Linked DNA regions of Xenopus tropicalis. The protein of the gene in region 1 purifies or fractionates together with the protein of each later gene. This does not show direct contact. Links are inferred from orthologs where the notes say so. Each region holds a gene or a part of one and is shown in the gene's direction. Other genes may lie near its edges.

What was found.
Region 2: the proteins of zranb1 (region 1) and strip1 purify together in Homo sapiens (affinity purification with mass spectrometry; 4 studies listed by BioGRID and IntAct, with this or other methods). This does not show direct contact. The link is inferred for Xenopus tropicalis from reciprocal best matches to the Homo sapiens genes ZRANB1 and STRIP1.
Region 3: the proteins of zranb1 (region 1) and cttnbp2 purify together in Homo sapiens (affinity purification with mass spectrometry; 3 studies listed by BioGRID and IntAct, with this or other methods). This does not show direct contact. The link is inferred for Xenopus tropicalis from reciprocal best matches to the Homo sapiens genes ZRANB1 and CTTNBP2.
Region 4: the proteins of zranb1 (region 1) and strn3 purify together in Homo sapiens (affinity purification with mass spectrometry; 4 studies listed by BioGRID and IntAct, with this or other methods). This does not show direct contact. The link is inferred for Xenopus tropicalis from reciprocal best matches to the Homo sapiens genes ZRANB1 and STRN3.
Region 5: the proteins of zranb1 (region 1) and gcc2 purify together in Homo sapiens (affinity purification with mass spectrometry; 3 studies listed by BioGRID and IntAct, with this or other methods). This does not show direct contact. The link is inferred for Xenopus tropicalis from reciprocal best matches to the Homo sapiens genes ZRANB1 and GCC2.

Annotation. Positions count from the first base shown.
Region 1 is NC_030683.2:20,384,858-20,389,888, reverse strand, and holds the start of zranb1 (ubiquitin thioesterase zranb1), read left to right. Parts: upstream 1-2,009; 5' UTR 2,010-2,032; intron 2,033-5,031. UniProt on the Homo sapiens protein: Ubiquitin thioesterase, which specifically hydrolyzes 'Lys-29'-linked and 'Lys-33'-linked diubiquitin. Also cleaves 'Lys-63'-linked chains, but with 40-fold less efficiency compared to 'Lys-29'-linked ones.
Region 2 is NC_030678.2:72,084,532-72,089,416, forward strand, and holds the start of strip1 (striatin-interacting protein 1), read left to right. Parts: upstream 1-1,727; 5' UTR 1,728-1,734; coding exon 1,735-1,860; intron 1,861-4,484; coding exon 4,485-4,554; intron 4,555-4,885. UniProt on the Homo sapiens protein: Plays a role in the regulation of cell morphology and cytoskeletal organization. Required in the cortical actin filament dynamics and cell shape. Part of the striatin-interacting phosphatase and kinase (STRIPAK) complexes.
Region 3 is NC_030679.2:68,648,795-68,653,488, reverse strand, and holds the start of cttnbp2 (cortactin-binding protein 2), read left to right. Parts: upstream 1-1,536; 5' UTR 1,537-1,616; coding exon 1,617-1,688; intron 1,689-4,694. UniProt on the Homo sapiens protein: Regulates the dendritic spine distribution of CTTN/cortactin in hippocampal neurons, and thus controls dendritic spinogenesis and dendritic spine maintenance.
Region 4 is NC_030684.2:113,226,307-113,231,186, reverse strand, and holds the start of strn3 (striatin-3), read left to right. Parts: upstream 1-1,722; 5' UTR 1,723-2,016; coding exon 2,017-2,235; intron 2,236-4,880. Other genes in the region: ap4s1 (AP-4 complex subunit sigma-1), read right to left, coding at 1-52, 509-646. UniProt on the Homo sapiens protein: Calmodulin-binding scaffolding protein which is the center of the striatin-interacting phosphatase and kinase (STRIPAK) complexes.
Region 5 is NC_030678.2:109,427,523-109,432,563, reverse strand, and holds the start of gcc2 (GRIP and coiled-coil domain-containing protein 2), read left to right. Parts: upstream 1-1,883; 5' UTR 1,884-1,981; coding exon 1,982-1,987; intron 1,988-5,041. UniProt on the Homo sapiens protein: Golgin which probably tethers transport vesicles to the trans-Golgi network (TGN) and regulates vesicular transport between the endosomes and the Golgi.

The DNA of each region.
Region 1 (5,031 bases):
TGGGATCAAGTACAGGTACTGTTTTATTATTACAGAGAAAAGGGAATCATTTAACCATGAAATAAACCCAATAGGGCTGTTCTGCCCTCAATAAGGGGTAATTATATCTTAGTTGGGATCAAGTACAAGTACTGTTTTATTATTACAGAGAAAAGGGAATCATTTAACCATTTAATAAACCCAATAGGGCTGTTCTGCCCCCAATAAGGGGTAATTATATCTTAGTTGGGATCAAGTACAGGTACTGTTTTATTATTACAGAGAAAAGGGAATCATTTAACCATTAAATAAACCCAATAGGGCTGTTCTGCCCCCAATAAGGGGTAATTATATCTTAGTTGGGATCAAGTACAGGTACTGTTTTATTATTACAGAGAAAAGGGAATCATTTAACCATTAAATAAACCCAATAGGGCTGTTCTGCCCCCAATAAGGGGTAATTATATCTTAGTTGGGATCAAGTACAGGTACTGTTTTATTATTACAGAGAAAAGGGAATCATTTAACCATTAAATAAACCCAATAGGGCTGTTCTGCCCCCAATAAGGGGTAATTATATCTTAGCTGGGATCAAGTACAGGTACTGTTTTATTATTACAGAGAAAAGGGAATCATTTAACCATTAAATAAACCCAATAGGGCTGTTCTGCCCCCAATAAGGGGTAATTATATCTTAGTTGGGATCAAGTACAGGTACTGTTTTATTATTACAGAGAAAAGGGAATCATTTAACCATTAAATAAACCCAATAGGGCTGTTCTGCCCCCAATAAGGGGTAATTATATTTTAGTTGGGATCAATTACAAGGTACTGTTTTATTTCTACATAAAAAAAGGAAATCAGTTTTAAAATTGTGAATTATTTGCTTATAATGGAGTCTATAGGAGACGGGCTTTCCGTAATTCGGAGCTTTCTGGATAACGGGTTTCCGGATAAGGGGTCCGATACCTGTACAATAAGTTCAAGAATGGACAGCACACACTTTAACGTGCAAAAGGTATATTAAAAGATCAAATTCATACTGTACACAAAATGCGACGTTTGGAGCCCGGCCGGGTATGAATTTGATCTTTTCATATACCTTTTGCACGTTAAAGTGTGTGCTGTCCATTGTTGAACTTATTGTATGTGCAAGGATATCGGAACCTGTTGGGGACGTGCACCACGTTTTGTTCTATGGCAGGGTGCTGTCCTATTGCATAAAACAAGTATATATATATATATAATATAAATCCTCTGTATCTAAATTCCACCCCCAAACTGGCCTTCTATGCCTTTCCGCATCCCCGTCCCTGTATAGTAATACATGCCAATCAGGGCTGTGGGCCGGACACACTGGAGCCGCAGCGCCTCTCCCCAGCTCCTGTCACTCTACGCTCTTGTTGTTATTTTCCTCTCACTCGCCGCTCTCATGACGTCACCGGCCCAGCCGCTTAAGACGGAACCTCCTATTGGCTGGCTGCTCCGTGCGTTTAGGCCTATCGCATGGCTGGCCGGCCCCGGGTGCCTAGTGACGTCACGCAGTTCCCGTCTGCTTTTATTTTGCTTCGGTCTCCGGAGCCGCCATTACAGGAAACGACCGGAGGGAGCCGAGCTGGAGAACATCACAGAAACGGACGAGAGCGGGAGGGACCGGACGAGCGGCACCGAGGGGTCCGGTCCCGGGGGAGATGAGCGGGGCTCGGAGGGAGGCTGCTGGATAAAGTCAGGTGAGAGTCCTGCTCGTCATAAATACACTGACAGCTGTGATGTCCAGGCGACTGTCGTCTTTTTAATTGGGTTGTGGTGGGGCTCCGAAACCTGCTGCGTCTGTCCCTGTCGCGCCTACAGCTCACCATTGGCGGCCCTCATACAGGAGACCGGGTAGACTGTAAGCTCTCTAGTCCACTGGCAGAGCCAGTCACTGGCCTGGAAATTCATCACGTGATGCGGATGTGACCCTGGGTTTCACTCTGCTCTTAGTTGGTGAGGAATGGAAACTGTAGGCTTAATGAGCTCCTCTCCCCATTCGATTGTCAGCTCTGTGGGCCAGGTACTGCCTCCTCCCTCCCCTTGTATAGTTTTACTGCATTCATACCAGTCCATCATTTCCCTTGGCCACACTGGGCAGGGCAGAGAGGGAATATGGCCTGGGGAGGATGGTGTAGATAAACATCTGTAAGATATTGTCACTGTATTATCCAGCAGATATGTACAACCTGTCTTAGTGCTTGTTATTAGTGATGTCATCAGTTCTGATTGGTGCCTGGTGATGTCACTTGTATCTCTGACTTACTGAAACCTGTGTGTATGTACTCCAGGGAAGTTTTATTTGAGTAGTAACAGGGTATATTGAGAGCTGCTTGCACCGGGGGTATCATTATAATCCTGTAGGACAGGGATCCCCAACCTTTCTTACTCGTGAGCCACAGTCAAATGTAAAAAGACTTGGGGAGCAACACAAGCACCATAAAAGTTCATGGAGGAGCCAAATAAGGGCTGTGATTGGCTATTAGGGGCCTCTATGCACCCTATCAGCTTACAGGGGCTTTATTTGGTAGGAAATCTTGTTTTTATTCAACCAAAACTTGCCCCCAAGTCAGGAATTAAAAAATAACTACCTGGTTTGGGGGCACTGAGAGCAACATCCAAGGGGTTGGGGAGCAACATGTTGCTCACGGGCCACTGGTTGGGGATCACTGCTGTAGGAGAAGGAGGTCATGCACCCCTGCCATGCACGCTATGGATATTGGAAGGCGAGAAGAACTTTTGCGCTGTGACAGGTTAAAGTTATCTAATGCTGAACTGACTCCCACCTCTCCTGACAACCTTTGACTATTTGGAAAGTTGAGAGTTGTAGTACTACACCTGTTGTAAGGCCACCTACATCTGGCCTGCTTCACTTATAGATAATGAGCTACATGTCTTGGCAGCCAAAGGCTGTCTGGGAATTCTGGGATTTGTAGTTAAACAGCAATTTGAGTTTGAGTCTGGGTTTAGAACACACACACAGGAATTTATGGGTAGGTATGCGTGTGTTTTTTCTGCTGTGGATACACCAGGTAGATCAATAAATAGGTTATCTGCATAGAGGATAAGGATTTCTGGGCCAGGTTATGGCTGTATAGTACACATGCACGTAGACAAAGGAAGTTTCCGACTGACTGGGTGTCTTGGGTTGTATCCAGGTTCCAGCATGCTTCTTGGTAATGCACTGCGGGTGCTCGGCTCTTTTCCATTTGCTGCCTTCCGTTTCCTACTGAGCCGAGAGTACTGTGTGCCAGGTGATCATTTGACTAATGATTGGTTAAGCAAACTTCAATATCTTTTGTCCAGCTGCACCCCTTAGGGTATTGGCACAGGGGGGTATTCAGGGTGTTTTGTTACCCAAGTGCCATGCGTGCCCTTACAGGTCTGGTGATTGCCATTGAAATGAACAAGGGTTGAAGGCGAACTTAACCCCCCAGAGAGGTTGTCTGACTTTAAGCACATAATCACATTGGTGGTATGGTTTAAAAAAAATAAACAAACAAAACCAAATAGGGCCTCCCTGAATCACATTCGGCTTTAGGTGAAATGGCGGTAATCACCAACCAGGAGCATGGAAGCCAGAAACAGATGCGCTTTCAGCATGCATGCCTCTGGCTGGTTATCTCCACAATAAAGTCTGAAATCGGATGTGCTTTGGCTGCCGACCCCTGCAGACAAGGTATAGGGGGGCCCGAGTGTTCCTTATTGCACACTAATGCAGCTGAGGGATGATCATGAGGGCTTTTCTGTTGTGCTTAATGTCAGACAACTACTCTGGATTTAGTCCTCCTTTTTTAGGGTGAAGACACACTGAGCTACTAGTAGCAGCTACTTTTTCAAGGCTACTAAACTCCTGAAAATCCCCTGCCATAGACAATACTGAGAATTGCCTCTGCTAAAACACACGTAGAGACCGTTATCAATAAATGATTAGCATTGTCTTTTTTTAGTAGCCTTGACAAGTAGCTGCTACAAGTAGCTCCATGTGTCTTCACCCTTAAGGTGGCCATACACGAGGCGATTTCGCTCGTTGTGCGATGAACGATTATATCGACAAACGATCGTATGGCGATCGAGTTCCCATACGATATGCCATCCACGGGCAACGATAATTCGGGAAAGATTTTGTCGCATCATTATCGTAAAATACCTACGATCGTACATCTACATACGATCGATGTCGTTGACTTCCGCTGCTTGCAATCGTGACATGCGCAGAGAACAATCGTTGAAAGACAAATGTCTGACACTCACACCAACTGGCAGATTTTATCGTTAAACGACCAAAATTTTTAAACCTGGCCGATCGATTTTGGGGACGATAATGTCGGCTCGTTTAGTGGGCCGACGATCGTTCGTACACCACCAACTATACGATAACTTAACGATAGCATCGGATCGTTCGGGAATCGGTCGTTTGTAAGTAAAAAATCGGTCCGTGTATGGCCACCTTTAACGGTATTATGGCTAATTCTGGTTGAGCATATGTAGGCCAAATACTAACATATAGAATTATTTTGGGACATTGAGTTTCCATTATGTAAACATGTTGCAGTGATGGGTTGCCTCCTTTATGCAGATTTGTTCTTAGTTATTTATACTTCAAAGGTCATTTCCATCCAAGCTACTCCAATGACAATGCAACTTGAAGAGCTCAAGCTAAGTAGGTAGAATTTACACTTAAAGGGGAAACTGCACCTAAAATCAGTCTTTTGCATAATGAGAGAAAATGTAATTCTAAGCAGCTTCATAATACTCATTTATTAAAGGTTTTCAGTGATTTTAAAGTTATTTGTAAATGTATCCACTATCGAAAGCAGTGTCTCATTGTTTATACATTGTGCACTTGTGGTTCTGACTTTAAACTACTATTAGCCTGTATGTCCTTTAAATGAAAAGGGGGAAAGTACCTATTTTTGGTTTCTGCTGTTACAGGTCACTGATGTTGACAACCAAAAAAAATTTAATATGATTTAGACTGAGAGTCTGAGGCACTTTGTACTTAGGTTTTGTGGTTTTTGG
Region 2 (4,885 bases), on another chromosome or scaffold:
TGCCCCAGACATAGCATCTTCCTTGGTGGCCGAAAAGTAAAATTTTACGCTTAGTGGGCACTGGGCTGACTAACAATGTTTTAGGGGGTCCCTGCCCTGGCCACAAATGTTTTAGGGGGGCCCTGGCCACAAATGTTTTAGGGGGGCCCTGGCTACCAATGTTTTAGGGGGTCCCTGGCTATCAATAGTTACATAGGGTTGAAAAAAGACCAGTGTCCATCAAGTTCAACCCATCCAAGTAAACCCAGCACACCTAACCCACACCTACCAATCTATACACTCACATACATAAACTATAAATAATCTCTAATCTAAAGGGGTGACCTCTGGTGCATTGATTGTTTTTATGGGAAAAAAGAACATCCCCCATCTGCCTATAATCCCCTCTAATGTACTTGTAAATCAATGTTTTAGGGGGCCCTGGCCAGCAATGCTAACAATGTATGTGTGTCCTTTGTACTGATGGGAGGGGTCACTGGGGGCGGGCACATGAGAAGAGGGGGGCCCAGAAAATTTTGTTGTGGGGGGCTTCATGATTTCTCAAGCGGCCCTAAGTGTGTATATATATATATATATATATATATAATCTGTTCTTTGTGTTTGCTCAGTTTCCCTTGTGTAATATTACATTTAAACTCGGAAACAACTCGCTTTGCAAATATGCAGTACCAGGTAAAACAATGGAGCAGCAAATACTTTTTCTCATCACTGTAATTACAAACTAGGGTGTATGTTCTATGGCCCCATCCTACTAAATTAGCAGGGATCTCCACCTTCACCAGGGGGTCCCAATTAATAGTCTGATGGACACCTAGGCCCCCTGAATGGTAAGCCCTGTCTCAAGTAAAATAGGGCCTCAACGAAACAAAAATTGCCCCTCCTATACAGTGTGTTCTAACCTGTCTCTAAGCTTAATTTAAGACAAAACTCCAACAAAACCTTGCCCACTCATCCACAAGCCCCATCCCTTTTAAGAACCTGGAATCATGCCTTTTCATCTCAGGACACCTGACTGCTGATGTACGTGTACTCCAATAATGATTGCCCATTATCAGGGGCCATTTAGATAACTTAAAAATGTAAATTGTGCATTTCACTTATCTATGGATAGCTAATGTGTGTTGCCTCATTTTACAATTTTACTTTTTAGAAACATCAGGTGCACAATTTGCAGCGCTCATACCCTAGATCTGGACACTTCCTTTTGCTCAATTGTATAAGCACTCTGACAACGTTACAAGAGTTTCTTCTACTGAAATTTTCTGACTGTAGTTTGGTTGATAGAACTGACCAGCAGATGGTGCTATTATTTCAATTTAGACGCATTAGCTGTGTAAAAACGTTTACCAGCTTAAAATCTATGAATACCTAATAAAAGTGGCAAGAAGCCCAATTTTACATGAATGTATTTAGAGTTAACGTTTCCTTTAAGGGTAGCCGGCTTTCAAACATCGCTGTAACTGCAGAGAATACATGGTTAGATATATAGATAAATGCAGGTCTCAGCAATAAAATACATGTTATGTAGACAGGAATATACAAAACACTGATTATCACACTGGTGCCGATACATCAGTCTCTATAAGCCGCCCAGTTTGTCAAAGAAAGGGCGAGACTCTTCATACTATCGCGATGTTTGGAAAGCAGAAACAGACACGCCTTGGGCTTTGCGTTCCACCGCAAATGTTCTACTGAGACGGCGGTGTCACGTCACGTGGGCGTCGCCTGAGAAAGATGGAGGCTTCCGGTTCTCTGATTGTCAACAACAAAATGAGAACAGGAATCGGTGGTGCGGTAATTGGCAGCCCCCAACCGGGCAAGGGACGAGAGTACAACCGTACACAGCGCAAGGATTCAGAGGTATGAGTAAAAGTGGTTGTTATGTATAACTATATTGCATTAACATTTGTGTTTGATTAGTACTCAGTTATCCTCGAATTACCCTTGTAATGTAACTGTGTGCCAGCTTTTATGCTTACTTAGTGACCGGGGTATGTCTGGGGAACCTGTGACAGGAAGACAAGACAGTTCTTACCTGATTAAAAAGCCCATTCCAAAAGGAATCTCACATCAGTTTTGCGAACTATTCTAAACTGCTGACTTGTCTTAGTTTTACTGTTCACCAAAAATATATATTATAGTTCTTCGTGGTTGCTGTCATGTTAATATAACCTATAGTTATCAAAAATATTTAATTAAATCTCCGTCATCCTGAAAGTTGAGCATTTCATTTAGAATCACACATTATATTCCTGTTCTGCAGGAAGATGCTGTGACAGAAAGGCACATGTACCTCTGCAAATGTAGTGAGAAAAGTGCAGTTTTGAGCGTAATTGCTGCAGGTTTTTGAAAAAATGTTGCTTTTTCCCCCAGAATTTGAGTCATTGTGGTTCTCAGTGGAGTGATACGCCTGGCACAATTGCTCTGTCTATTGCAGTTGTATCTGATTTGCAACTGTGTACCCAAAATTGGATGCAATTGCGCCAAAATCCAGCTGGCGTCAGTTCTACTGTTTGGTCTGTACCTGATTCTTTAGGTGCAGCAAGTGTGTGGCAGCTCCAGGCTTCCCCTGGTGCAGCAGCTCTCAATTTGGAACGGAAGGTAGGAAGGAGAACATAAAAGTGGTGCTAGGTGCAGCTGGTTGGGGGGAAACTGGGGACCACTATTGCACTCGTGGACGTAAATGAGCCCTAAAGTGTTCCTGGAAATATCATGCCCATGTATTATTCAAAAAGTTGAATTTAATGCAAAGCTAAGATTTCACCACTTGCACCTTTCTCAGGGTGGAACAAACAAATGGTATTTGGGAGCAGCTGTGCATATTGTAAAAGTAACTGAGGAGAGAATTCTTTGGGCTGTAAACATGATTCAGACTTAAGAAAATAGTATAAAAATGTACCACTCTGTCACATGGTTTCACAGAAAATGCCTGAAAGTTAGTCTGAGGGTAGAGGGCCCTGGGTACTCATGAAAATATTTCAATGAGCAAAAGATCTCCTAGCATGGCCTTGCTTTTACTAGTGAGATTTTTTTTTTTTTATTGGTCTGTGTTTACTGCTTCATCACCTGGGGTTTACAATTGCTCTCGTAATGTGTTATGCTATAATGTGACCCTATTCCACGGTTACTCTAAAGAACCAGGTTGCAAAATGAAATCACTTTCAGTTTCATTGTTTTCCCTGTTAAGTAAAAGAGCTACTGAAAATATTACCTAAGCAAATTAGCCTTTGAGGAAAAAAGGTGTAACACGTACAGTGTCTGAACATCTATGAATAAAGTTAGGTCTCAAAACTGATTACATTTAAATCTCCCAGACTACTAAGAAATATGGTTTTGTTTGCATCAGTCTTATGAGAAAGAATTGATATCTTTCGAAGTTATAATTTTTTTTTTCTTTCCAAGAGTGCAGTCATATTCTGTGACTAGTTGCAAGTGCATTGAAAGCTGTCCACACATAATTCAGCGTGGAAATGCAATAATAGGTATTTGTATTTGCTCTCTGTGAGTGAACAGGTATATCCCTTGCCTAGAAGTGCACACAGAGGGGGCAGAAGGCAGCAGATCAGCTTTTCTCTGCTGGTGTATCTACAGCAATGGGGAAAAAAAACATTCCATGTGCCATTAGGGCGAATGGTCGCAGCGACTTTCCCTTCAAAGGATCCTGTATATGTTGCTGCGACTAATAGCACACAGGTTTTCGCTGCGTAGAGAAATCGCAGCGACTTTTTAAAGACTTATGCCGACTAATCGCCTTGTGTGTCTTCACCCTTAGGGCTCTGGCACACGGGGAGATTAGTCGCCCGCAACAAATCTCCCTGAAAATGTAAATCGCCGGTGGGATGGCATAAGCGGCGGCGCGCTTTCACTGAAATCGCGGAAGTTGCCTTGAGAGGAAACTCACATTTTTTTTACATTTTTGCCGGTGGGATGGCATTTCTGGGAGATTAGTCGCCCGCGAACAGGGAGATTTGTCGCGGGTGACTAATCTCCCCGTGTGCCAGAGCCGTTAGCCTTCCAATGTTTTTGGATAAAAGGTTTTTTTTTATGACTTTCTGGGCTTTTGTGTCCAAAGAATGATCAGATAAGACATCCTCTTACCACAGATATTAGTTATTTGATTTAAAGGGAAGGTCTGAAAATTGTTGTTAGTTTGACTGTTTGGGTATAATCTAACAATCTGATAATGATAGAACAATTTGACTGGTCCATCTCCCAGTCTCTCCTGTGAACTATCATATTTCCAAGACCGCAGTCTTCATGTTGATGATTTATTGTTCTACAGTATACATCAAAGATGACCATTTGTTGGTGATACTATTTACATGCCTTTTGTAATTATTTTTATGTGTGCAGACAGAAAACATAAATATGCCATAAAGTGTTTTAGCTGTTTGTTGCCAACTTGAATGATAAAATAAATTTAAAATTGTTGCACTGGGTTTCTTTTTTTGTTTATTTTTTTATGGCACTTCTGTTCATTTTAGGGCTATTCGGAGTCTCCGGACCTAGAGTTTATATATGCTGATTCTGACAAGTGGGCAGCAGAACTTTCAGGTAAATTGTAGGGCTTCATCTTGGTCATCTACACTAAGTACAATAAAAATATTACTCAACTTATAATTTTTTTTACCATCCTTTTACTTTCCTACTTTCCAACATAAGTGTGCATAGTTGGTTCTCTCACAATATGCAAAAATTAGTACAAATATAACTGCAATGCTGCTTGCTTTTGGCTGATGCATTCTTCACAAACAAACAAACTGCTACCATTGTGTAAACTTTTATCAGCTGGTATATGAATGTATTTTCTCAGTACCACTTTTTTTATTAAATAACATGAAAGAATTGAAGAGCCTTTTTAGCCTATGTCTTACACAGTAATTAC
Region 3 (4,694 bases), on another chromosome or scaffold:
AGGCTTCAGTTCCCTATCGGGTCAGCCTAGCTGCTGATTGGTTCCTATCCTGCAGTGCAGTGTATTGAGTGCCACAGGCTCCCCTGCACATCCAGAAAATTCAGCCAGCAGCATGTGGAACAGATGAGCTGGAATAGTGGGGTTTTGGTGGAATTTCTCAATAAATTAGTCCAAAACACAACTTTTTAAGTTCAATCCTTCTGTATTTAGAGGAGTATAATTCACTGGTATATTCTTAATTTTTATATGATATGTCTCTGGGTTCAGAATACTGTAAATTGATGCTGTTCTCAGGGCACCATAAACAAGAAACAAATTGTTACTGCATAGTAAACTATGATTTTTTCATTAGTTAGGGTGGCCATACGTCATAAGATCCGCTCATTTGGCAAGGGCCAAACAATTAAATGATGGGAATCGACACCTTTATACTGGGTTTACTTCAATATTGGCATAATTGTAAAAACAATCAGCAGTATCAGAACACTCATCTTGCTCTCTAGTTATGGTTGTGCAGAACTAGGCCTCTACAGACAGCAGTCACAAGAAAAACAGGAGCTTCAGAGCCCCAAAGAAGATAATGCAGATAGAGAGAAGCAAGTTGATATCAAATCTAATTGACTGGAAATAATGTCTAATGAGTTTAATGCCATCAAACAAATTGTATGAACCAGAAATCGTTTGTTGCACAAACATAGGAACAAAAACATAGTCCTGTTCAGAATAGTTAATTGCCTATAAGGTAATTCCATGTACCAAACACTTACAAGATGATGCCTGCAGGACCCAGGCAGATAAATCAGTGCATAGGAGTATGGAGGGGACAGACTAGAAGAGGCACCTGTATACTGCTATCCTTTTCTGTTGCTGTATTTGTGACAGACAGGCAGGGAACTGAAATAAAGGCAGGTGTACAGGCAATGTACTGATTAATCATAAAGGGGGTTATGTAACAACAGACACACAATGTTCTCCAGCTCTTGTATCTTACAGTAGTTGCTATGGGTTACTGGAACTAGGGCAATCTTTGCACCTGCTTTCTGCGGGGTTGTATGTGAGTATAAAATCTCTTTTAGTGACACTGGTGTGGGAGTGATTTGTGTATGTGCACTTTAGTTTCTATATCAGTTTCATACAACGAGTAGGCTGACGTTGGGTTTTATTGCCTGGCTGTCCAATATGAGGACCAAAGGGCTGACACGGTCCTCAAAGCGGTTCGGCCCCTAGCTTGCCCACACTGACTTTGGATTAAAGTTTATGACGTGGGTTGTATTTAAAACTATGTTTTATTTGCCAGACTACCTGCCCGCTAACTGGAGTAAAGTTAAGTAGCCGTGTTCTGCTGCATTTAGTCGTGACAATATGAATTAAAGCGATTACTATGGATACTGGGAACTGCAGTATTGTATTATTGAGGGTCACGTGTGCTGGCAGTCCGCTAAAGCAGGAATGTGCAGGTGAACTGAGAGTTAACTCTTGGCGGGCTGGAGTAGGAGGAGTAAGTGTGCTTCTGACGGGCAGGCAGAGGGTTAAGTGTGGGCTTACTGGTGGGGGCTGTCCTCTCGGCTGCTCTCCTCTTCCCTGGCTCCTCTCACTCAGTCCTCAGCAGCTGGAAGATGGCGACGGTGGAGGGGAGTGAGGAAGAGCAGGCTGAGCCTTTCTGCACTGCCCAAGGGGACACGGATAACGTAAGCGCCTCATTGTACTGCAGTTACTCCATGCAAGTGCTGCCCCGGCAGTGGGATCAGGGGGAGCGATGTGCTTTTAGCTCTGAGTCTTAGGAGCTGTCACTGGTTTATTAGAGCGATATTGATTCCTGCTTCTGGCGTACAATTTTCTGGCTTTAGTAAGAAACAGAGAGGTGCATTCGAGGGCTGCACAAATGGGGTTCGCAGCTGATTGCAGGGATAATATATGGGGACGTGTATTGGTTAAGCCTGATTCTTGCAGGGATAATATATGGGGACGTGTATTGGTTAAGCCTGATTCTTGTGCTGTATAATGCGAGCGTGCCTAGGGATTTATGTAATAAAATGTGTCAAGTGATGGTTATATGGTTCCGCCTCCCAATTGCACTTCCTAGGAATGGTGGGAAGCCGCTTGGATCTGCGCCTCCTTTCCAGTGCTTGCGATTAGCTTTGTCGCATAGGTTTTGTCTAACTGCGCTCCTCTAATTGTGTGCACTGCTGTTGAATAGGAGATTTGAAAATTCTATGAGAAGGCTGGCTCTCAGTGTATGTAACATCAGCTGTGCAGGGGAGCTGTGTCTCTATGCTGACTATCATAGACGTCTATAAATAATAGAAGACTAAGCAGCTTGAGCACAGGGATTCGCTTGTTATGATCAATATTGTATTAGCTGTATGACGACAGTGGGTTTTATTTCAATTAGTAATGTTACGTGTGTAATTTATTACCCTGTTTTCATAAGGGATATCCCAGAAAGATGGTAGGACATGGGGATTCAGTCTGCAGTTAAGTCCCCTCCACAGGGCAGACTCCCTGTACCAGAGCCCCACCATAATAGTAAGCCCAGAGTGTTATTGGGGGGGGGGGGGGCAGCATCTTTTGATAACCCCCAAATATGGAAGAGAGTAGGATATCTCTAGCAGCCTGTCTACTGCTGCTTACTTTACACACTATCCTAACCTAGAGCTCAGGGAGAAACTAAAATATTAATCTTAAAATATTACCCTTTCATAGACCCCAGGATTCTCAAGAAAGACTAGGAATAAGATTTTTTTGGATCCTTCTTTCTCAAAAGGGATTAGGAATAAAGGCTTGTTCCCTGCAGGTAAATGTTGTAGCTGGATGCTTAACAAGTTGCACATTATTAGTGACAATAAACTGGCCACCTAAGTAGCTGGTAAGGGAGCCAAAGAAAAAGACACACAGTTTGTAGATTTTGTGGCTTTTTTCCATTTTTTGCCCATTTGCCATATGAAAGATAAATTACTAGATTCCCCCTCAACTATGGATTGGTTATTCCACCAAAATTACTGCATTACAAATGATTACTCTCTGCACAATTGTCCATATATCCTTGCATTAGGACACGGTGCAATATAATGTGTTATACTGCCTATGCTATTTCCCAGCTCAGTGGAAAAATGCTCACTATTGCTGCTGCAAAGATGTACATGGGTATTTCCCTTACCCTGATGGTGTGATTGTTGGTGGGGCCATTAATGTCTGTCAGTCAACCTTTTTAGAGCAATAATTACTTGACTTGTGATCACACCAGTAGGGCAATGGTGTTTACCCTGAAAGTCTATGAAGCTGCAATTACAAGGGGGGTTGTGAGCATTTTGCAACCCTTCTTCCTGGAAATAGTCCTGGGTGCCTTTTAAATTTCCATTATATATATCAAACATTATTTATAATTTTAAATTAATTTGAATACAGAAACAATATATCAGAAAGCAGGTCCTCTCTAATCATAACTCAATTTCCCACTATTCCTTGTTCAATTCTGTTACTCTTGGAGTACTGGTTTGAGAAGAATTGACTGATGATACAATGTTGCAATGGTATGCCCAGCCAGGAAAAGGAGAGAAAGAACCTACTCTAAGTTGGAATTACATGTACACATATCTTTAAAACCATCGTTTTAATTGTTTATATTAATGTAAATTGTTTAGTTGGTTAGAATTTCACTTTTCTTTTATGCAAAAAAAAGTTTATGGGTGGACATTTTGAATAGATGTGCAAAGCTTATATTTCTTGTGCTTTAAAATAGTTTAACAGTTTAAGAATTATTATTTATGCCAACTACTTTTATAATACCAGCATTACTTGCTACTAAGTATATTATATTACAAACACGTATTAAAGGAGAAGGAAAATTAAAAACTAAGTAAGCTTTATCAAAAAGGTCTATGTAAATACAGCCATAAGCACTCACAGAGTCCTCTATCAAAAAAAACCACAGGATTTCTAGGGCTCTTTACTCAGGTATGATAAAGCTTTCTGCAGAATAAATATAGTGTTCTAGGTGGCACTATTGTGGCAAATCTATTGGCAGCAAAATGCCAAAATGACTTTTCTTCTCCTTTAGGGCTCTTGCACACGGGGAGATTAGTCGCCCGCGACAAATCTCCCTGTTCGCTGGCGACTAATCTCCCCGAGTTGCCTTCACCTGCCATCCCACCGGCGACAATGTAAGTCGCCGGTGGGATGGCACACGCGGCGGCGTGCCGAAAAAGACTGCCTACAACAGTATAAGTGGATCTTCGGAAACAAAACTGGTTGCTGTTATTACACAGCTGCGCATGAAATATTCAGGTCAGTTTCTAGTCGGTAGTGGGTAGTATGGAAATTGATTGTGGATAGGGTTTCTCAGACCACCCTTCCTATTCTGATTCCATTAAGGAGGGAGAAAAATTAAACATTAAAATATTAGTCTGAGAGCATGGATAAGTAGCTTGGAGACATATTTGGGGGACCTAAGCTCATTAGAATTAAAAAGTAGAAAGCAAGCATAGAGTAGCCATACCTGCTAATATAAATTAGGTGCAAACCTGAAAGCAGACACAGACTTTCTTGATATACTCCGTTATTAAATGATTATTTAGGAAAATAAAACAATGTCCCTAAATGGCCACAATTACTTATTCTATAATGATAAGGCTGTAGATTAAGCTGTTTTGGCACAGCCTAATATAAACATTGCTGTTATGCACAAGCATTCCAGG
Region 4 (4,880 bases), on another chromosome or scaffold:
ATGCATATTGCCTGTACACCAGCTTAAAGTCTTTGTACTCTATGAAGGAACACTGATGGGAAGAGAAGAATTAGGATAAGAAGTATTATTTCTCTACTAGGAGAGAGAACATAAGAAAATCCAAAGATTAAAAGATCAAGAGAAGTTTTACTGGGGTTGATCATTGCTATTGCTCCAATTGTGAGGGTCTTAATAAATGTATAAAGTAAAATCTGCCATTAACTGCCAAGGAGTAGCAAAGAGGCACAATGGTAATATTTACACAGGGGTATTAACAATAAAGCAGCCTGGGCCCCATCCAGCTAAAAATGTAAACAAACAGTGTGTGTTGATTACATACCTTTGGGCTAGGCCTGATATTTTGCCTCACTCCATAAGGCAATATCAACATCTACCCAGAGTGTGTGCATAAGGGAAAATAAGGGTAGGCTCCATCTAAACAGATAAAAGGGGAGGTAAGGAGGCAGGGATTGTCACTATCCTACAACCTCCATAACGCAGTATTCACCTGATCCTTGGAACGTGACAGACACAATTTGATGACGTCAGATTCCAGCAGTGTCCGTCTCTGGACTTCCATGCGTTCATAGTATCTTGACAACCTGGTCTGTCCCTGCTTGTTCACAATGAGGAAGAACTTGATCATCTCTACAGACGAGCTGCTATCCAGAGCTGGAAAGGATGTATATAAAACATCAGGTTAGATGTCCTAATGTACAATGCAGGCTATAGATGCTTATAGCGGCAACAAAGGGTGTCTCTTGTGTCATGGTTTAAGGTCCTTGCTTGTTGATGGAGCAAGAGGATTTAGCACTATCTTGAACTGAAATGTACCAAACACCAGCATAAAGGTGTAAGGTGGAAATAGGAGCTCACTTATTATCAGCCTGAAACTACAGGGATCTGGTGGGATACAGATAGGGGGATTTCTGATTGGCTGCAACTTGCAGCTTACTGACCACATTTCTAAATGAGAATATTTAGAAATAAGACCAGTGTTGGACTGGGGTACCTCCGGCCAGCCACAATACCTGAACTCAAGAGCCCCCCTGCCTGTGAATGGGAAGTGGCCATGGTGACCAAGGGCCACACTGACATTTATCTGCAGGGCCAGTGAGGAGACTAAGGGCATTCTTTCTGCCCCATCCCTTTACCACTTTTTAGTCCCTACTGTCTGAACACTCTCAGGCCAGCACCAACAAGCTGCCGGTATCCCAAGCCTCAAGTCATACTATTGCAACGTATTTATACTGGCATGAAACTCACATGGAGCCTAGGGAATAGCGGGCTGCAGGCTATGGGAGAGAACAATGGCACAGGCAAGGATAGGCAGAAGCTGCTTACTGAATTCACTGTAGATACGAGGTGGCCATTGCTACTGTATGCATACTGTATGTAGTGTGTGCACAGTGAATCTAATTGGCTCCCCATTTGCTAAACCCTCCTCAGGCTGATAAAACACGTTTCTATTTAGATCACGGCTCCAGGGGCCGGCGAATAAAATCTCTCAGCCACTCAACGAAACCTGAAAGCGACGGCCGGTTACCCGTTCAAGGCGGGAGCATCCCATCAGTGGAGCGGCCGGCTAACCAACAATGATTTCCGGTAGCATTCGGCTGTCACCATTCCATGCGGAACTACGTCACTACTAGCCCTCTGGGCGGGGCGGGGATCACGTGACGCATATTGCCTTTGTGACGTCAGTCCGCTAGGCCCGCGCATGCGCCTTGACGCTGTCAGCGGGAGGCGGTGTGTGAGGCCGGTGTTTCCCAGAGTGCCCCGCGGAGCTTACCGGACCCCGGGGGGGAAGTGACAGATAACAAATGGGCAATATCAGGAGTGCGCTTGTGCGCAACTTATAGACGGGACGGCGGCGGGCTCCCCTCCGGGGGGGCGAGAGTTACCGGCCGCTCCATCTCACTGCTTCTCTCCTGACTGGCACCGGGGAGCTATTTGCCCCCTAACGGGACGCGTCACTTGTAGCGGAGTCCTTGCGAGAGGGTTGGTAGCGGCGGGATGGAGGATCTCCCGGCGGCCGGAGGAATGGCCGCGTCTCCGAGGTTGCAGGCCGTGGGTCCGGCCCAGTCCCAGGGAGCCCCATCTGAGCCTGGCTGTGAGCTAGCCAGCCGCCCCCCTCAGTACACTATCCCCGGGATCCTGCACTACATCCAACACGAGTGGGCCCGCTTCGAGATGGAGAGAGCGCACTGGGAGGTGGAGAAGGCCGAGCTGCAGGTGAGGGGTCCGGGGAACAATAGGGAGAGACGGGGGGCCCCACCGGGATGGCAGTGTGGCGCCCCCTACAGACTCGCACCCGTCTCTGGCCTTTCCTCATTCCCAGCTGAACTACATCTCCCCGCACCCCCGGCACACTCCGGCTGTGTATGAGCTGCGGGGAGTCCGGCACAGGTGCCCAGGGGGAATGCAGTGACAGGAAGCGGGGCCTTGCTCGGTTACTTTCAGGTCGCCATTTTGGCAGGCTCGCTTTTAGGGTAGGGCAGAGAGGGCATTTGCTCTGGACCCCCAGTATCTCATGGCTCCCTTGTGGGGAAGAATTGCAAGTGTGTAACAGTTGTCAGATATTGTCCCTATACAGATCAGGGGGGCAATCTGTTGCCCTCTAGCTGGGTTTTAGCGTCCCACCCACCACTGACCAGGGGTTGCTGGGAATTGTAGTTCTGCAGCGTTCATAGGGCCCAGGTGGGACAACCCTCCCACATATTGAGAGCCCAACCTTCTTGCAATGCCATGGAACCTTTCTTTTTATCTATATAGGGGCCTACGTGGCCGACATTCTGCTCCCATTAGCAGCCTCCCCCTGGGGAAGGCCTGTCTCTCCTCTCCAGCTCAGGACAGAGCAGTGACAGTGGGTAACTGGACTGTAATGACTGGGCCAAGTGACTGCCCTGTTGCTCCTGTCATTCCCAGGGCCGGCACCTAGTGATCTTGTCTGCAGGCATTCATTTGCCTCACTTCAGCTGCCCAGGTCATGCTGACCCCAGTGGGCTTGCAGGGTGACAGATAGGATTGTAAGCTGTATTAGACTTATTCCCCAAATCTCAAAGTAGCAGAGCTACACCACAGTGAGTGAGGATAGCCTATATGTGGGCTAGTGCCCAGTCTGAGCCAGGCAGATTGTTCTACATAGGTCTTTAAACTTATAAAGTGTTCCATTGGTTGCACAGGTCCATCCTGTTCTAAGATCCTATTGTATTCACAGGTAATGAAAATGCCCGTCCTTTATTTTCAAGTGCAACTTTACTTTAATCCACACATTGTTTGATCTAATCCTATGCATTCTTGTCTATTCTGCCCATACCTTTTATAAACCCTATATTAAACATGTTATAATTAAGTGCAGTGAATAAAAACTCTATTCACATTTTAACTACTGACTTAGGTAGGTATGTGTAATTGTGAAGGCCATGTATGAGCTTTTGTTTCTATCCCAGTGCTAGTACGCTGGAATTGATTGGTGGTGGTGCTCCTTTTATTATGTTGGCTAACTGTGTGTGTATGTGAATAACTGTCCTGAAACTGGGGTATTCACTAAGATGTTTGTGATACTATATCAATCAAGAATAGCTTAATTGTTGCTTAATTTTCAGTGGCTGACAATGAATAGCCTAATCAGGATACAGTGGAACCCCGATTTTACATGTCCCAGTGGATGGTGTCAAAATGGTATAAAATCTGGGGGGGAACAAGACGCCACTTGCTTGTATGGGAAAACTGAAAAACTATCAATAATGGGAAAATGTTAAATCCAGGTACATAAAATCAGGGGTTCTATTGTAATATGGCATGTTTGTCTTTGTTAATACTGATTAGTTCTATTTCTATATCCCTAGAAAGCAAGGCACATGGTGAGGGTTGGCAGGCTCTACATGTAGCCAGTGTCACATTTAGGAGAATTGGGAGAATTTTTATAAATCTAGAACTGCAACCTTCTATAAGCAGGTGATGTATCTGCCTTGCTCACAAGGCTCTGAGGTTCTCTGACTTTGGCTAGTATTGATTAGTTGTGTTTCGCTCGGCATTTGCCCAGTTTGTATGACTTTGTGTTCCCTTTGTGCAGAATATTGCTGCTATTTGAGTTCCTTTGGATGTTACAAAGATACATTAGCAAAAGGCGGCGCTTCTGATCAAGCCGTTAGCAATTCTAGTCCTGACTTCCATGCTGCCATTGCAATCAGATTACTAGTTACTTTGTATCTAAACTTCTGTAAAACTCAAAGAAACAGTTATGATCCTTCCCATTTGGCAGTAAAGTGTAAGTGTCCAACAGGGTGTCCATGTGCTGGGAATCAGCAGCAGTGTGTTACACTTAGCCTTTATGACACCATATGCTATAACCTTATCCAGGGCAGTCACAATAGAGAGAGAAGACCCAACAGCTGCTGGAAACCCAGGAGGCTTTCAGCTACTCAACTTGTACAAACCTTTTCATTCACCAGTTCTTTCCCAAATTTAACTCTGTTAGTAAGAAAGGTCTAAAAAGTTTGTGCTGTTAGGCCCATTTTACACTTACTAGTCATTTGGGCTTTCATTTTCCTGATAGACAGTTGATAAGGTGAAAATGGTTATTCAGAAATCTTTTTAAAAAAATGCTAGGTTTCAATATATTTCTGCACTTTTTGATTGCAATTGACAAGTGTTACCTGTATTATAAACACTGCATACACATTTGTTTAGTGCTGTAACTTCTGGCGTCCAATTTAACACTGGGCAAATGTAGTTGCACAAGTACTTCCCGCATAGCAACAAATTGCCAGGTTGCAATGGCTTTCATCTATGTAAGGCAGGTCTGAGAACATTCTTGTGCTTTAACTCTACAGTCAGTGGTGGGTTTCTCTAAATTCCCACTCATTGGCTGCACA
Region 5 (5,041 bases), on another chromosome or scaffold:
CCCACATACCCCCCAACATTTCATTAAGAGAAAGAGGGACAAAAATATGTGACGCGAGTAGTGCGGCAAAAATGTTTTGGCCACGGCTGCTTTGTGACCACGACCCCACACACCACGCCCACTTTACATGCCCCAGATGTGCCAGTATAACCACTAAATAAAAAGAATAAAGGACATATTAACTTCAAATGTGCCAGTATGACTACATTAAATTGATAAAGGGCATATTAACCACAGACATCCCAGTAAAATTACTAAATGAAACTGATAAAGGGCATATCAACTTCAGACATGCCAACAGTTCTGTGTATTTGCCAAGTTATAACCAGGGCCAATTCCCCGGAGCAGAGCAGGCACAGCAATCAATTAAATGGCAATGCTGAGAAGTAGGACATCTAACAATGAATCCGGGACAGCTGGCAGTGCTATAAATATCGGGACTGTCCCACTAAAAGCGGGACGGTTGGGAGGTATGCACCCAGTTGTGTGCAGGTAGGCACCACAATCCATACCACAGTTGCACCAAGGTCAAAAAAACATTTATATACAAGTAGGAGGACAGAAACACTATTAATGTAGGGTGATTAACCTGAATCTTATTCTGGCAACAGAAGAGAAAAATTGTTTACAACTGAATCTTTATTTAATCTTTTTATATAAAAAAATATAAAAATCTTTTGTGTATAAAAATACTAAAATACATAAATCACAACAGACCCATTTTGTCACCTGTGGTTGCACAGATTTACCTTGGGTGACAAATCTAGTCTGCCATCAAACATTAAAGGATATGTAAACCCCCACACAAAAATGTAATCAGTGAACAGCGTCTTTGGAATCTTTAAATACTTGCCACTCCTGTTATTCAAAGGTTAATAGTAGGGCTGCAGCATCTCTTTAATCCAGGGGTCCTCAAACTTTTAAAGTAAGGGACCAATTCATGGTCCGTCAGACTGTTGGGGGGGGCAGCCTATAGTCTCTCTCCCCCCCCCCCCCCTTCAGCTCCAGCTCCCTGCTGGGTCAAACTAGTGCCCGCTCCTGCATCATCCCTCTCCTGCATCTTCTCTCTTCCAGCTCCCCCGCTGGTTCCATCTGTCCTCCCTCTCCCCCTGCTCCTCCCACTCACCAATGCGTCCTGTCTGTTCTAGCTCCCCCGCTCCATCTGTCCTTCCTCTCCCAGCTACCCCCTTCTGCTCCCTGCTGAGACCTCCCTGTTCCAGCTCTCCCCACTCTGTCCATCTGTCTTCCCTTCAATAGAAACACTGGTCTAGCTGTGCCTCTGCTGGAGAAACATGTTTTTTCTTCTAACCTCCTGTCCTGAGCTCAGCTTAACCATTACAGTGCTCAATTCAAACAGGGCTTTTTATCAAAGTAAGCTCTGCCTGTGTAAGCCTGCATTCTTCATTGCATGAAGTGGACATATGCATTTGCAGATGTAAATGTCACTAACAATGTGTCATAGCGAAAATAGCCACTGGGTGAAAACTGCTATTTATTTTAAGAAAATGTTATGGTATTGGCAAAGGAGGGGATAGGCAGTATAAATGGTGTCATATAGGTGGGAAGATGTGCCCATCTTATTTACATGGTAGAAAAATGTGGCTTTACATGTCCTTTAAATATGACTAAGGGGATATAGTAAACCCTATTTGTTATAAAGTGGCTAAATTGCGATTTTTCTAGTACGTTTCATTTCTATGCAAACATTTTGAACACAGGTAAGTTTTCAACCATTTTGCTGGTACCAGAATAAGAGGCAGGTTAATCACCCTCCGTTAATATTTACCATAGACTATAAAATTATTTACGCCAAGGAAACGGATACTAATAAAGCGTACCATTTCTACGCGTCAATGCCAGCCAATTGCTTCGGGGAGGCGTTTAGATATTGAGAGATGCGTTCCGTGGGGCGGGGTTTCTGCTAATTTGTGACGTTTCTAGTGACGAAGACGGAAGTAGAGCGGTTCCTGCTGATGCAGAAATGGAGGTGAGAGCCGGGGTTCTGTGAGGAGATGTAGAATAAAAGTAGACTAGAAGTATTCAGCTCACTAACGTGTAGCGCTTGTGTGTGCGGTGGCTCTAGTACTACTTACACTGTTAATTTGATAAGCTACTTGTGTATAGGGGGTGGGTCAGTGTTCGTACAATTACTTTCATTCTCAAATATGTGACTTGTATCAGTGATAAAGTCTGGTCCATTAATGGTTTACAGGAAGAGACATTTGGAAAGCTCCCAAACGTTCTATATTTTCCCTTTCTGAACATGTTAAATGAAATGTGATTGTGGCTGCGGTGTAAATGTGCTGTACATTGTAACTGTGTTGGTATCTTGCAAGCAGTGAATCTCTCAGCAGGTATATCCTGAATATCCGGACCTGTAGGTATGTTTGCTCTATCTGTATTAACAGGAACAATAGCTGGCCTGCTTGTGACTGACACAAGACTGACTGCTTACTTGGGCACAATAAATGGAATAAAAACCCAAATATACACATTTGCCACATGAAAGGAAACATCTTGCTTAGGATTACAGTTTCTCTCTCAAAATTTCAAATCTATCCTAAAAATATGTTTTAAACAGCTTTTGAGCTTATTTTGAAATGTTTTGTTGTTAATTAACCTAAACCCCTTAAAGGAGACATATCCTATAAAAATTAAGAATGTACCAGAGAATTATACTCCTCTAGATATAGAAGGATTGTGCTAAAAAAGTTGTGTTTCTGACTGATTTATTGAGAAATTCCACCAAAACCCCACTAGCCCCGCCCATCTGTCCCACTTCCTGCTGGCTGAATTCTCTGGATGAGCTGGGGAGCCGGCGGCCCTCCGTACACTGCACTGTAGGATAGGAACCAATCAGCAGCTAGGCTGACCTGATAGGGAACTGAAGCCTGTCTGTGCTTGTGTGACTGCAGGACTGTGATTGGCTCTCCCCCTCCTACTGTGCTTCTGGCAGGGACCGTTAGGACACGCCCACTCTTCATTTCACACTGGAGGGAGAAGTGATACGACCTATAGGGAGCTCCAATAAAGGGGCCATTGTTACAGATAGGATTAATGTTTAGCCCAAAGGGAAACCAGCACCGTATATTATTCATAATTGCCTACAAAATTAGGGTTTTCCAATTTATACTATATGTCTCCTTTAAACATTGTTAAAAAAGCAAGAGTTCCCATGTTTGCAAGCATCGTCTGTATGTAATAGTTCTGGATGCAGCTATTTAAAACAATGTGTACATCAGAGTTTTGCCAGATTGTATGCAGATTATATCATTTTATATCACTCTAACAGTGGCAAAGTCTGTTAAAAGTTAAAACATATGAATAAAAAGTGTAAAAATCTGGTGTAAATACTACACATTTATAACGCATTTTTTATGACTATGCTAGTTTCTATGCAAGGTTTTTTTTTCTTTTCTCATTTTTTAGTTTTTTATTATCCATTTAAAATATTGATACAAAGTACAAAAGGATAATACAACTTTAGTTCAAATTGTTAACAAATGTCATATTAGAAAATGTAACATTAATAAAAGAAATTATTAAGGTGCTTGTAGCCCACTGGATTTTTTCTCGGTGCCCCGCTGGCCTAGTCTGACCCTGGACACCAGCAATGTTCAGAGATATAGTTTCCTTTAAAAAAGATGCCAGCAACATACATTGAGTCATATAGTCATCAGACAGCCCATTGTTGAATATATCTTATGGTGCAAGTAATGTTCTTATTCCATCCTGGCAACTGAGGCCCAAATATTGAATCTCATTCAGTACATGGACAGACCCCCCCCCCCCCCCCAATATGCAACACATTTAATGATATCATGAATCAAGTTGTTCATTGCCTAAAATAATCAAAACAATGATAAAAATAAGCCAAGGTCAGGAGCAGTGTAACTAGTTTAACAACCACAAAACAGACTGACCAACATGAGTGGCAGTGTCAGAACAAGGAATCGGGATCAGATTAGAACCCCTTAAAAACCAAACAAATAACAGGATTAGGAACAGGACCAGCAGCACTGCAGAAACACAATCAAGCTGGGCATACTAAATATCCACTCATGTGGCCACCTTGCATCTTGCCCAATTTTTCCAACTACATGCTGGGCCAAATCAGGCTCATCTGGCTGGGATCATAACAGAGGCATATAAGGCCTGTTGGGAGAGGAACACATTAATGCCCTCATACAAGATTCACTTACCACATGCATCTATCTTTTAAGACTATAGTGTGGAACTGGATCTGCCTGGCTGACCAAAGCCCATTCATAAAAGACATAATAACTCATTAGATTAATAACTCACAAATGGTCACTAAACAGTTTTCTGTTTTCACAAAAGCCATGTTATATTTGCAATTTTGTTTGCACATTGTCACGTTGCAATTTTTTTTCCCTGTTACCGACTTTTATTACATTTCCCTTTATTGCATTATTTATCCCCTGTATTACATTTGCAATTAATCGCCTGGGAATCTGTCCCTGTCTGTTTTAAGCCAGTTAAGGTGCCCCAACACGGGCCAATTCAAGTTTGTAGCTTATCAGCCTGTGTATGGGGCCCTCAAATGGGCCTACCAGCCAATACCATGCCGAATATTGGCAGATATCGATTGGGCAGATTTAAAATCCTGTTGGGACAAGGAGCACATATGTGTGTTGATGCAGTTCTTGTCCCAACAGCCTCTATACCGGTAATGTGATCCGATCTTTTGGTCTGAAGACCAAACGATTGGATCAATCCGATAATGCTCACCTCAAGGACCTTGCCAAATGAGTGGATCTTTCAGTGAATGGCCAGCTTTAGACCCTTGAAAGTCTGTATTTAGACATCTGTGCTCTCAAAATGTGCATAGTAATTCAGCACAGATTATTAAGGAACTGACTATGCTTTTAGACTGATTTTCACCATTTTGTTCTTCTCTACAGCTATCTTTTTTCAAAAAAATGTAGTCTATTCTTTAATGAATTACATCAGCTAAAAACAGTTCACATCAAAAACATGGGAAAAAGCAAAGCATAGATTTTTCTTAATATTTTTTTTT